Linked DNA regions of Sus scrofa. The protein of the gene in region 1 purifies or fractionates together with the protein of each later gene. This does not show direct contact. Links are inferred from orthologs where the notes say so. Each region holds a gene or a part of one and is shown in the gene's direction. Other genes may lie near its edges.

Region 1 (4,003 bases):
AAAACTCTGGCTTTGGTTTCCTAGAATAAAAAGATATTGGCGTAGGAAATATAGCCATTATTTTATAATAACTTAAGTGGAGTATAATCTATAAAAATGTTGAATCACCATGTTATATACCTGAAACTCATATAATATTGTAAATCAACTACAGTGTAATTAAAAAAAAGATATTGGCATATTCTCTTGTTGGGTAAACATATCTCTTCCTCTCTATAAATTTAAAATAATGTATTCTAGTTCTATTAGAATTTCGAACAAAAATTCAATTTAATACAGCTACTCCAAAATCAATTTGTGTTGGTCTCATAGTTAATGTTAACTTAATTCAAATGACCACAGGCCTATAAAATACTTATTCTATCTTTTTTCCATTCTTCTTTGTTACTTCTTAGGTTATCAAAAATAAAAATAAAATATAAATAAAACATAAATGTAAAAAAACATGTTTGAGTTTTTTATATTTAGACATTTAAGAATAGTTCTAAAAACTGATGATTTGATATTCCACTTTAAGTATGCTATCACATTTAAACTTATATGTTAAATATGTAATGTTCATGATATATAAAAGTCAGAAGCAAAAATGATGCTAAAATAGCTTTAACCCTCATAGGTTTAAACACAGTAGAAATCAATTTAAAGCATCATCTTAACCTTGTCTATTCTGCAAGGTGAAGAGAGAGAGGACTTTAATAGATTAATGCATTATTACAATAGACTATTTCTGCTCTAATCAATGCTTGTGTTTAAGTTTACATTTGTAATTTTATAATGTAATTTGCATTATGATGCAGGTTAAGCTATACATGAAGAACATGTTTTGTCTGTCTTTATTTATTGCAAAGGACCTGGCAGAGGTGATTTCTATATTACATTTTCAGTGTTTCTGTTAAGCCTCATAAAAACTTCTCATTGAAGCCAAACAATAAAATAGGCTGGTTTAGTCCACGTGTTGTGAACCCGTATAGGCAGTTATTTCACAGGGTCCTGAGTGGTCCTTGTTTCTTGGACGTGAGACATTCTCCAGCATCCACTGATGTCACTTTCCAGCAGCAACGAAAGGGTGAGCAGAACCGAAAATCTGAATTTTCTCATACCTTCCACCATTTCTTGGAAATGTACTGTCCAAAACTAGGAATTCATTTTCCCACTAACATGGTTTTAAATGTCTCATACTTCTGTTCCTGTATGTCTGGCTCTGTTTAACTGTGTGGATTTTCAGTAGAACGTTCGAATCAATTCCATTGTTAGAAACTCTCAAGATTTTTGCATTTAAGCTCTAGCGGCACATCTTAGGTCTAGGCTGGCATTCCACATTTGCTTTTCTGCCTTGTCACAGGAAGTAAGAAGATGCTTAGCCTCCTTTCGTTTCCTCCTTAAATCTGCCACAGCCTGCGCTATTCTTTAGAACTCTTCTTCTGCCTCCCAAGGTTGGTTATAGAGCAGAACCAGCCTCTCCATTCCTGCATTCGCATTGTCTCCAAGTACAAATACTCACAGGCTCTTTATGTCTTTATTCCTAGTTTTCAGGAGAGAAGTAGCAAATGTAGCAAATATGGGGTGATTAGGATCTGTTAACCGTAAAATTCCTACTGTTACGGTTGGTGAGATGTTTACTGGAATCCCCATGGAGTTTATGCCTTATGCTTTTATACCTAAAGGTGGAAATTACCATACTTACCTTCTCCGTTCTTTGGAGATTTGTGCTTTATGCCTTTCTTGCTCCTGTCTTGGCCTAAAGACCATTATGGTAGTTGTATGTTGCTGACTTCTATAGTCTTGGCTCAGATTTCTCCCCTGAGTTTCACACTCTTGTCTATTTCAGTTTCCTAAATGCCTTGCTGTCATCAATTTTTGCTTAGATCTCAATAGGCCTTTGGGCCAAGGAAATGAACTGAGAATATATTGGAGGGGGAAAAAAAACCTTTAAAAATGAAGAATAGTTTCAGTGATCATTCTTATACAGTGTTGGCATAAACTTCTTTGAAAGCAGTTCATAGGATGTATTGGGAGACTTAAGTGTTCTTAGCCTTTGATATAAAATCTTTATTTAAATATTCTGATAACTAAAGTAAATAGAGGGGAGAGATGTTCATTTAAATATTTTTGTCTATGTCTTTAATTATCTCTGATATATTCAGAAAAATATTAGAGAACTGGGTATTTATACCATATATATGAGAATGTTATATACCTAATGATGCTGTGTTGTGAAGAATCTTTAAATAATTTTGGAAAACAATTTTATAAGAAGACTGATATAAAGAGATAGAATATAAGTTATGTCAAGAAGAATAGATGGGCAGATAATTACAGGTTAGCTGTTTCATTGGCGGGGAGGCAACATGAGCACATACCTTTGTGTGGAAATAAGTTTATTATCTGGAAAGTAATGATCAGCCTGGCTGAAAAGTGGAAGTTCGTTTTGGGGGAATAGGAGAAGATGTTACTCACCTGTCGTATGTTAGATATTGGCCAGGTATCCCCACGAGGATACAAGGAGGCCCAGAAGATGACAATAATGGATATTTAGGAGAGGGGCAGTATATAAGAGACAATTTCTTGAAAAATGTGATAAAACTTAATGACTGGATAAGGGGAAATCAAAGATAATGAAAGTGTTGAGTGTGTATGATGCCAGTAACAAATAGTAAAGGGGAACTTGGTGAGGCACGGTGATCAGTTTAGCTCCCACTGTGGGTTTAGGGCACACACACAGGAGAGCTTTCAACTGTGTGCTTTACTACTTCACGTTTACTCTTTCTGTAAAACTGAATGTTGTTCAGAACCTCTGACTACCATTTCAGGTCTTAACTAACCAAGGTGAAAGCTGCCAAAACATGACTTTCTAGGGAGCTGTAAAAATAACTTAAATAGTGAAAGTATTTTGAGTAATAAGGTCTATGGCATTAGGTTTTAAATTTTTTTTCATGTCCTGGAAATAATACTTGGTTTGATTCTGTTCACCGTGTTTAATGCCTTTGCTTCACACTATAATGTATTGGGCTGGGCCCCTAACCTTAATAACAGTAAATCTCATTCTAAACTGTATTATAGGGGAGTTTTTTTCTTTGGCAGATGGGAGATTCTTTGGTCAGAGAAACCTACGAAGGTGAATGCTTCCCAGGCTCGCCAGTTTAAACCTTGTATTAAGCAGATAAATTTCCCCACAAATCTTATACGGCTGGAAGTAAATAGTTCTCTTCTGGATTATTACACTGAATTAGATGCAGTTGTATTACATGGTGTGAAGGACAAGCCACTGCTTTCTCTCAAGACTTCACTTATTGACATGAATGATCTAGATGAAGATGACTATGAAGAAAAGGATGGTTGTGGAATGGACAATCTGAACAAAAAGTTTAGCAGTATTGCCCTCAGGGAAGGGCCAAGTAATGGATATTTTGATAAACTACCTTATGAGGTAAGCCAGATATTCACTAGCAATATTCGACATACTATAATTTTTAAATGTTTATATATCAATGTTTATTTTGCTAGAGAAATAGGAGCATTAGCAAGGTGCACATAATCTGTTGTATTGTGTATTTTGATTTTGGAAAAACTAGACAAAATTGTCTTAAGTAACTTCACTGCTTTTGTTTTTTGGCTTGATTTTAGTGATCCTGGGTAAACTTTTAAGTATATGTTATCTTACCACTGATTTACAATAACCAGAATGCATAAACCAATAATAAATTACACTCCACTTTAATTCCTAATTACACCATGTAAGTATGGGCAATATGTACTTGACTTGATACCAGTTATGTTAAAGATGATTTGCTATTAAAAATAAGAGTATTAGTAAGATTGCGAGAGGAATGCTGATTCTCTTTAACAGTACGCAGTTTCTCCAAGTGTCATTTACTCTTCTATTTTAACCCTATTCCATGTTCTTCTCACTAGCTATGATTTTTGGTCTAGGCAGGTACTGAGTGCCTTTACCTAGAGTCTTGTTTTCAGTGTGTCTCTCTAGGGATATTCCTACAGTCTGTTT
Region 2 (4,051 bases), on another chromosome or scaffold:
TGCTGGAAGCTGTAGAGGGTTCCACATGGGGAAGGAAAACCAGGTGCCACTGTCTTTTCGAGGACTTATAAAAAACTTCAGTGAGCTTAGCAGGTTGCAAGACGTGATGACACTAAAATCCATATTCCTATATATTTTCAAAAAGCAATCAAATGAGATTTAACAACGGTAGTCACCATAACATTAAAAGTATGAATATTTAGAGATGCCTCTGACAAAAGATGTGCGAGCCCTGAACCCTGACAACTGCAAGATACTGCTGAGAAAAAAGTCAAAGAACACCTAAATGATGGCCAAACACAGGGTGTCTGTGGGCCCTAAGGCTCAATACCGCAGCTGCTTCCCCAGGAAGAGGGGCCGAGGAGCTGGGAGGGGCGCCTGGGGAGGGCTGGGGTGGGAACACTGAGAGACTGCAATTCGCGCCTCTGCAGGGACACGCTGTTCTGTTTGTTCCTGGCTGCACCCAACTAGAATGCCGCTGGGACAGGGGCGGCGTGGGCTCCACGCACCATGAGCAAGTGAAAATGAGAAGGACAGTCAGCCTGAAAGCAAGGCCAGCTCCTGGACATCCAGAGAGAAAGCAAGATTGATGCCCCTCTCATGAGCATCCGCCGCGTCCCTGCGATTGGCTAGGGACGCAAATATTGGTCCTATCTGTCTTTCTCTGGTTGGTCCTGAGCTGGAGGCAGGGACCGAAGTCGGGGAAGCTGTCATCGCTGATCAAGTCCTGGCCATTTAGGCCTTGTGGTCACAGGGCTGATGTGCGGCATCCCAGACCTGTTGCCAGAGATTCTGATCTGACTTCCCGCCAGGCTGACGTACAAAAGGCGGTCAACTGAGAGGGGCGACCGGCTGGTGGCCTCAGGACGCCGGCCAAACTGCCAGCGCCGCCTTCGGCTGGCTGCCCCGCCTCCCTTGCTCTCCTCCCCGCGGTCAGAGGGAGCGCGGTCAGGCCTCAGGCAGTATCACCGACGCCCAGGCCCCGCCAGGCCCCGCCTCCCGCCGGCCTAGGTTTCTCCGCGGGGCCCGCACGTCCGACACGCACCTGCCGGTTTCCCACGCCTCGCCCCCCAGGGCGCGCGCTCCCGGCCCGGGTCTCCCCGCCCCGCCCCGCGCCCCGTCCCGCCTGCGCACGCGCAGCCCCCTCCGCACCGCCCGGCCAGCGCACGCGCGCTCCACTCCTCAGGCGACCCCTCCCCCGCCCCCGCCCCGCGCACGCGTCGCACGCGCCGCACGCGCCCTCGAAGGCCCCGCCCCGCGGCCAATGGGCGGCGCCGCCGCTTCGCCGCCGCTTATCCGCCGTGCGTCCGCCGCCAGCGTCAGTCAGTCGGGCCGCGGGCCGACCGCGCTCGAGCTGCTAGGCCCGCGCCGCCGCCGCCGCCGCCACCGCTGCCGCCTCCCCCCGTCCCTCTGCGGCCGCAGCTCGGCTCCGGCCCCCGCCGCCCCGCCGCCATGTCTCAGAGCGAGGCCCCCGGGCTGCAGGAGGAGAGCCTGCACGGTGAGCGGGCCCGGGCGGCCTGGTGGAGGGGCTGCGCGGGGACCCCCGGGAGGCCGGGCGCCGCGGGCTCGGGGCGCGGCGGGTGCAGCCTCCCCGGACGGCAGAGGCGCAGCCCAGGGCCCGTGCCGGTACCGGCGAGCAAACGCCTGGCTTGCGGGTGGAGTTCGTGGACGTGGTTGCAGCGTCGTCGGCTCGGTCCGGAGGCGCGGCTGGGGGACGTGGGCTGCCGGGGCTGCCGGGGGTGCGGGGCGCCGGTCAGCGTCGGGGGGCCGCTTAGACACGGCGGGGGCGCGCCGCCAGCTCTTCCCTGAAGCTCAGGTTCTCTCGTCCTGGGGGTCGTTCCAAAGCCAAGCTGGACGCGGACTGGTGGCCGGCGAGGCGGGGACCCCCTGCCCCTCCCGGAAAGCGGGCTCGCGGGGTCCGGCCTCGCGGTCCTGTCCCTGGGGAGCCCCGCGGCCGCGGGCTGGAGGAGGGGCCGTGCGCGCGACCTTTGGATCCTCTGAAGCAAGAGTTTAGGCAGCGGGAGCACGTAAATAAGTTTGGAGAGGACCGTCGAAACCTTTGCGGGTGCATTTTTAAGTTTTTGAAAACCTTTTTGTTATCTGAACTTAGCCACATTTTCTTACGCCTTCCAACAAGCTTTTCCTAAGTAAGACTCGGTGTAATGCGTTGTATAATGTGCATTTAGAACTAAGACGACAGTTTAAAAATCCTGTCATCTCATTAAATTTCAACACTGCTTATCTTCTTGGAAACAGGTTGAGATTGAATCTGTCTTTTCTCACCACCGAGGATGCCGTGGTCACTCGTCTACGCTTCTGACCTCGTGCTTTGGTGGTTGAGATTTGTGTCTGGAAGGGTTCTAAGCGCCCAGAGCCCCCATCTCCGTTCCTTGATTGACACACCAAACTGCTGAGTCATTGGCAATGCAGAAGGCCAGCTCCCAAGTTAAAAGATTTGTTTTTCTGTTTTGTTTATTCTATAAAAAGACAGTTGCAGGCCGAGTGGAAACTCCTGCTGGGCTCTTTGGGCTCCTCTCGGGTACGTGCTGTGGGGCACTTGCTCAGGGTCCTGCCCAGAGGGTCACATGGGCCCCGGGTCCGCCCTGAGAAACGTGAGTCCCCGCCCGGGTTGGTGGCGCCTGTCCTCAGCTCTGTTTTGGTTTGACTGCCTCTTGTTTACCTTGGAAAGAACGCTGAGCCTTGGTAGCCCCACCGACGGACAGCAGCACGCGTTCTCCCCTCTGCTCCCGCCTTTGACTGGGTGTCTCCCGAGTTCACAGCCAAGCTGATGGCTCCCTCTGGACTCCTGGTCCTTCCCGCTCAGAGCTCTTGACTGGCAGCTCGACCTTTTCCTCAGATAAACAGCTGCTAGAGTGTGTGTGGGGGGGAGACTTACTGTCCTGGAGAACGCCCTCCCTGCTCTGCTGGGGCCTGACCAGCGCCGTGAGGTGCCCTGGGGTGCCCGAGGCCGCCCCAGCCCTTCTCCTGCAGCCCTAGGGTTCTGCTGTCACCAGCAGCCCACCAGGGGCCCGGGCGCATGGAGAGGAAGGTGAGTAGCGCATGTGTCCGGTGCAGTAGGGTGACATTTCAGACACTAGGTCCTGGCCCAGAGAGGAGTGAATGAGGCCGCAGTGACTTCTCAGGGCCGCCTCCTTTGGGTGCTGGTGGGCGGCTTGGAGCCTCAGCGACAGGGCGCTCGCCAGGCAGGCGGAGGGTGCGACTAATCAGCTCCTGCTTCTTGGAGCCTCGGTGACCTGCCTGGTCGACTTCCCGGTTCATCAGGCCTCTGTCCTGTCCCACCCAACTTGAGAAGCTTTTTAAAACTGTCACTTCGTAAAACCCCAGCTGGTTCGGGTGGTGGTTGCCTGCAGGCTTAGTGAGCCGCTCTGCCTGGGATGGGGGCGCTTCTCCGGGGGCCTCTGTGACCTCGATCCCATTGTCTCCTAGGAACTTGCCTAGCAGTTTTCAAACCTTCATCACCGCAAGAGTTTTTGCAAAGGAAATGCCCCGACTGGGTTCTGACCCAGCCTTCCGAACCGGGGGTGGGACTCCAGAGAGCGGGGAGGGCACCGCAGGCGGTCCTCGGTAGCCTGGGTGGAGGCCTGCCAGCCCAGACCAGGGTGCGGGGGCTCTGGGACCCAGGGCCTGGCGTCTCACTGTGGAGGCAGGACTGTGGAGAAAGGGGTCACAGTTTGTGTTTTAACAAAACGAATGAACATCAAGACGGGCTAACAAGTCTAAGGCTTGTCAGCCCCTTTTGTGATGTGACTTCGAATGAGCAGCCGAGGCTGCTCATCCTTCTCACCTGCCATGCTCACCTGCCCTGTGTCCTGCTGTGTGCGTGGTAGGCAGGTGTGGGCAGGGGCCCGAGTCTGGGCAGAGGTATCACCACCTGTTTTTTCTGAGGCCTCATTGTACCAGTGACTTGACAGGTTATTTGTGCTGCTGAGGCGGTGCCGTGAAGCAGCCTGGCTCCCATCTTTCTGGCCCAGGAAGGCGAGGGCGCTCGTGACTGCAGGTGGAAGGGGGTCAGTGGCAACCCTGGCTTCCT
Region 3 (4,609 bases), on another chromosome or scaffold:
GATGTTATTTGGGTTCTGTTAACTGCTGAGCCATGACGGGAACTCCTTGAAGAACATCTTTTTAAAAAATTCATGAACCCATCTACAAAACAGAAACAGAGTCACAGACTAGAGAACAGCCTTGTGGTCGCCAAGGTGAGGGAGGGGGAAGGAGAAGGATGAACTGGGAGTTTGGGGTTAGTAGATGCAAACTATTACCCTTGGAATGGAAAAGCAATGAGGTCCTACTGTTACAGCACAGGGAACTATATCCAATCTCCTGGGACAGACTATGATGGAAAAGAACATAAAAAAGAATGTACTTATATGTACAACCGAGTCACTTTTCTGACAGCAGAAACTGGCACAACGTTGTAAATCAACTATACTTTAATACAAACATTTTAAAAAACTTAGGATAGAATAAGGAGGGATATCAGCCTGAATGGTATACAACTTTGTAAATATGTCGATTATCTCCCCAAAGTTCATCTGAAGAGTAATTAGTCATGAAAAAATTTTTAAAGACAAAAAAGGAGGTCCTTTCTCTAATATTTATCTGATAGAGCTACTGTAGAGAAACCTGAAATGGACTCATTTAGAATTTGATAGAGGTGCCATTTTGGTGTGAAAAGGATGACTCAAAAATTAATATTGTTGGGTCAATTGGGAACAACTGAAGTTAAGCAATTCACAACACATAAAAATAAATTTCAGATGGATTAAGGGTATAAATACAAAAATTAAACCTATAAGAAAATTATAAAAATATATAGGGACTGGATTCAGTATCTTGCTGTGAGGGTGTTCCCAAGGCATATGAAAATAATAGATGTGATTGCCTGAAAATTTTAACTTCTGAGGAATGAAACAGGGTTAAAGGACAAGCGATAGGCTGAGATAAATGCCACACATAAATGAGACCAAGGAAACGACAAGTCATGGAGATACGAAGCAGGGCGAGTGTTCTGGAACATAGTTTACTGTCACTCACGTATAAGAAACATGGCTTCCCATGTTATGTCCTAGAAATTGTTAAGTGATGGAATGTGGATGATTGTTTTCTTCTCTATGTTTTCCTGAACTTTTCCATCTTTTTAAAACAAAGATTGCGTGGGGTCTGTAATGAAAAATTTTTGCATTATTTAACAACTAGAAAGTCTGGCCTGCCTTTATTGTTCCCTGCCTGGAGTGTCAATGTTCCACCAGCTTTATTTTAGGTTTACGACGGGGAGGCACCAGGGCTTCTTTTGCTTTCTTTGTGTCAGCACAATACCTATTACTGACTGAGTCCTTACAGATATTAAAAAAGAAATGCTCACAGATTGGATAAAACAATGTTGATACTGTAGGTGTGGGAGATTTGGGCGCCAGCGCCTGAGCGCCTTGCACTTCCTCATGACACACTTGTGCCCATCCTCTATCCTGGTTCCAGCCGCATACCTCACTCCATCCGGCCAATACAAATGACATGCAAGAATTCATTCCTGGCGCGGGCGTCACCGTGACTCGCGCGTCTCCAAGTCCGTGGCTCTCCTGGGCACGCCTGCGCCCCGCCCCGTCGCCAGTTGTGTTGTCATCACGTGGCTGGGGCGGGCCCTGACGTCAGGGGCGGGGGAGGGACTGCGCAGGCGCAGAAAAGGGGGCGGGGGACTCGGCTTGTTGTGTTGCTGCCGGAGAACCAGAGACGGTACTGCTGCGGTCGCAGCTCTTCCAGCCGCCTGACAATGTCTCACTTAGTAGAGCAGCCGCCTCCTCTGCACAACAACAACAACAACTGTGAGGAAGGTGAACAGTCTCTGCCCCCGCCAGCCGGCCTCAACAGTAAGTGCTGGCCCGGCGGGCTCGGTAAAGGGGATGGGGGAGGAGGAGCTGCTCGGGCCGCCGCCGCCAGCTCCGCGCTGGGGGCGGGAAAAGAAGGCAGCCCATTGGTCGAGGTCGAGGATGTGCGGGTGATTGACAGCTCCCATCACCCGTCAGGAGGAGTTGCTCTTATCTTCCTCCTGACCTCTCTCTTTTCCCTTCTGAGTTCTTGGGTGATGGGCTGTTGGGTTCGCCTTTGGGAAGGGTAGGTGGGTGGGAAGATCAGGGGGTCGAGCCGATCGCACCTGTGGTGAGCCCCTGAGTGCAGCCAATCGGGGCGTGGAGGGGCGGGCCTTGGGGCGCGGGGAGGGAGGGTGGGCGGAGCGGGCCGCCTAGGGGACGTGGGCAGGGATGGGGACGTGCGACGGGGACGCCGGGGGATGGACGCAGGCGCCGGTTTTAGGGGAGGGGGCGACCGAGGGACTGGCGGGTGGTCCAGTGTGCAGCGGAGCTTGGGCCAGGCCCGGTGACCACCCCTCACTGGGTCGGCCTTCCCTCCAGGGCTCGGAACGTGAGCCCTCTTGTTGCGTCCCTTTGTTAGCACAGACTGGTTAGGAAAATTATTTGGTAATTTAGTGGTTACTTGTATCACGTGAGGGGGGGTGAGGAAGCTATGATACTTTTTTTTTGAGAGGTTTCAGAGTTGCTCAAGTAATTTTTTTTTTTTTAAACGATGAGGTTATTTGCCCTGTAAACCTGATTATGAACAGCTCTTGAACCATCCAAGATCGCACAAATCACAGTGACTGGGGCAATGAATTTCGTACACCGGGGCAGTTGAAAGTTAAGGGCAGTATCGAATTACGACCAACTACAGTTGCTTTTCCTAACATCCTGGTGCTTAGACATCACGTCCTAAGGTTATTTCCAGTTGTCTTTAAAGCTGGCTGCAAGTCTTGGAAAGGTTCTTGCCTAACCTTCCTGTAATTCATCTCCTGGAAGAGGTGGTTGGGACAGTTAGCATATGGCCAGATGAAGTCGTTTAAAAATCATTTGGATGCTTAAATGACATTCAAAGGCACTTAAGTATCTTTCATCCTAGGGAGGTGTTTCAGCATGGCCTAAAAATTTTAGGGAAGCGAGTTCCTGTCCTCACAAGATGGGGATAGAATTTGAGTATTTTCAAGATGTTTTCATTCCTTATTGCTGCTGCTCCTTCTGATGGATAATTCCTTAAATGTTGACTTTTAAAAACTTTTTGAAGTGTTCTAGAACGTAAGGTTTATATATTAATTCCTACAGTAAATTAGGGTTAATGTTTGTGTCTTTAAACATTACTTGCTTCAAATATGAATATGCATTTTAACATTACTTACCAGTTTTTAGCCTCCTCTTTTAGAAGGATGTGGTTTTAGGATGAGAAGAAACTTTAGAGGTAACTGTCTACTCTTATTTACTGGTAGAGAAAGAGGCCTAGAGTAAAGTGTGTTGTCCATGTTCACAGCAGGTTATGTCCTAAAGTGGAGGTTTTACTTTCACCCCGTCTGGCATTCCTTTCAGGACACATCTTTTCAGGGGCCCACTATCCCCTGATTATGTGTGTTTCTTATTCTCTGTTACCCTACCTGTTATTTAGAGGTAGCCTGCTGATCTGTCTCTTTTTAGTACACTGTTTCCTAATTGTATTCCAGTTTTCCTATGATACAAGTTGGTTATTTGGTTAATATGTATACACAATTTCACAGAAAGTGAAGGGATTTTTATTTTCTTTTGATCATGTGACAGGAAAATGGGGATGAGCTATATGGGATGGTTTTTCTCCATGTCCTGACAGACCTATGTTTGATGTCCTTGGCCAATCAGTTGCTGCTCCATTTGTATTCAGTCTTACAGAAGTGGAAGAACACTCAGCCTGTGTGTGCTATCAAAATGTTGCACATTTTGGGAAGTCTGCTACATAGAAAGTATTTTATTTAAGCTAGGGTGAGCTGCTTTTCAATGTTACTGAAAAGCTTTTAGATAGTGCCATATTTCATTACTTTCCTCATGCCTTTTACTGTTTTTTTAGCTCATTATACAACACTAGACTGAACAAAAACAAGCCTTATTGATTCCTTCAAGTGATTTTGGGCACTGAGCAGAACAACTTATTCAGGCATCTAATACTATCCAAATTGCTGATAAGTTGAAGTTCTTTGTTGGGTAAAGTTGCACAACTCTGAAAAAAAACAGGAGATGAACTCATTGTACAGATTATCTCTGGCTTGGGATTTTATCTTTAGTGCAGGGGTCAAAGCAGAGTTTTAATAGCAAGTTATTGAAATATTTGGAATAATGAAAGCTTTCTTTGATTTTTTTAAAAAGTTTATCCTTGTAAGGGAACTGTTCACTTTCATTACAAATTAGTGGACAAATATCTGAACTACTTCCAAAATTAAAAGGACATTTTTCAGTTGATAGTTTTATTCTAGAGAAAACTATCAGGTCACTTACAAATATTTGTATTGGGAATTTATGTCATAAAATTCAGTAAGTAATATAAGGAAAATTATGGTAATAATTTGTGCATGTTGGAATTACAGCCCTTTTTTATCTTTTTAAGCATCTACTGTGTTGCACTTGCTTCCCCAGGATGGCAAGAAGGCTTTCAAGGCCATGACACATGAAATTTCAATGCCTTATGATATTGTTTTGAACACCTAAGTGGTGTATAAGCAGGTACTTGTGCAAGAAGGTCAACCTTTTTTGAGAAGAGTATTAGTGACTGTTCTCATTCCAGATTCCAGCATCAGGTACTTGAGATGAAATAAAGGTTTTGAGGAAAGAA

Evidence for each region.
Region 2: the proteins of FBXL4 (region 1) and BNIP3 purify together in Homo sapiens (affinity purification with western blotting; 4 studies listed by BioGRID, with this or other methods). This does not show direct contact. The link is inferred for Sus scrofa from reciprocal best matches to the Homo sapiens genes FBXL4 and BNIP3.
Region 3: the proteins of FBXL4 (region 1) and BNIP3L purify together in Homo sapiens (affinity purification with western blotting; 4 studies listed by BioGRID, with this or other methods). This does not show direct contact. The link is inferred for Sus scrofa from reciprocal best matches to the Homo sapiens genes FBXL4 and BNIP3L.

What each region holds. Positions count from the first base shown.
Region 1 is NC_010443.5:65,910,741-65,914,743, reverse strand, and holds part of FBXL4 (F-box/LRR-repeat protein 4), read left to right. Parts: intron 1-3,081; coding exon 3,082-3,427; intron 3,428-4,003. UniProt on the Homo sapiens protein: Substrate-recognition component of the mitochondria-localized SCF-FBXL4 ubiquitin E3 ligase complex that plays a role in the restriction of mitophagy by controlling the degradation of BNIP3 and NIX mitophagy receptors.
Region 2 is NC_010456.5:140,369,152-140,373,202, reverse strand, and holds the start of BNIP3 (BCL2/adenovirus E1B 19 kDa protein-interacting protein 3), read left to right. Parts: upstream 1-1,251; 5' UTR 1,252-1,452; coding exon 1,453-1,498; intron 1,499-4,051. UniProt on the Homo sapiens protein: Apoptosis-inducing protein that can overcome BCL2 suppression. May play a role in repartitioning calcium between the two major intracellular calcium stores in association with BCL2.
Region 3 is NC_010456.5:10,317,088-10,321,696, forward strand, and holds the start of BNIP3L (BCL2/adenovirus E1B 19 kDa protein-interacting protein 3-like), read left to right. Parts: upstream 1-1,600; 5' UTR 1,601-1,706; coding exon 1,707-1,803; intron 1,804-4,609.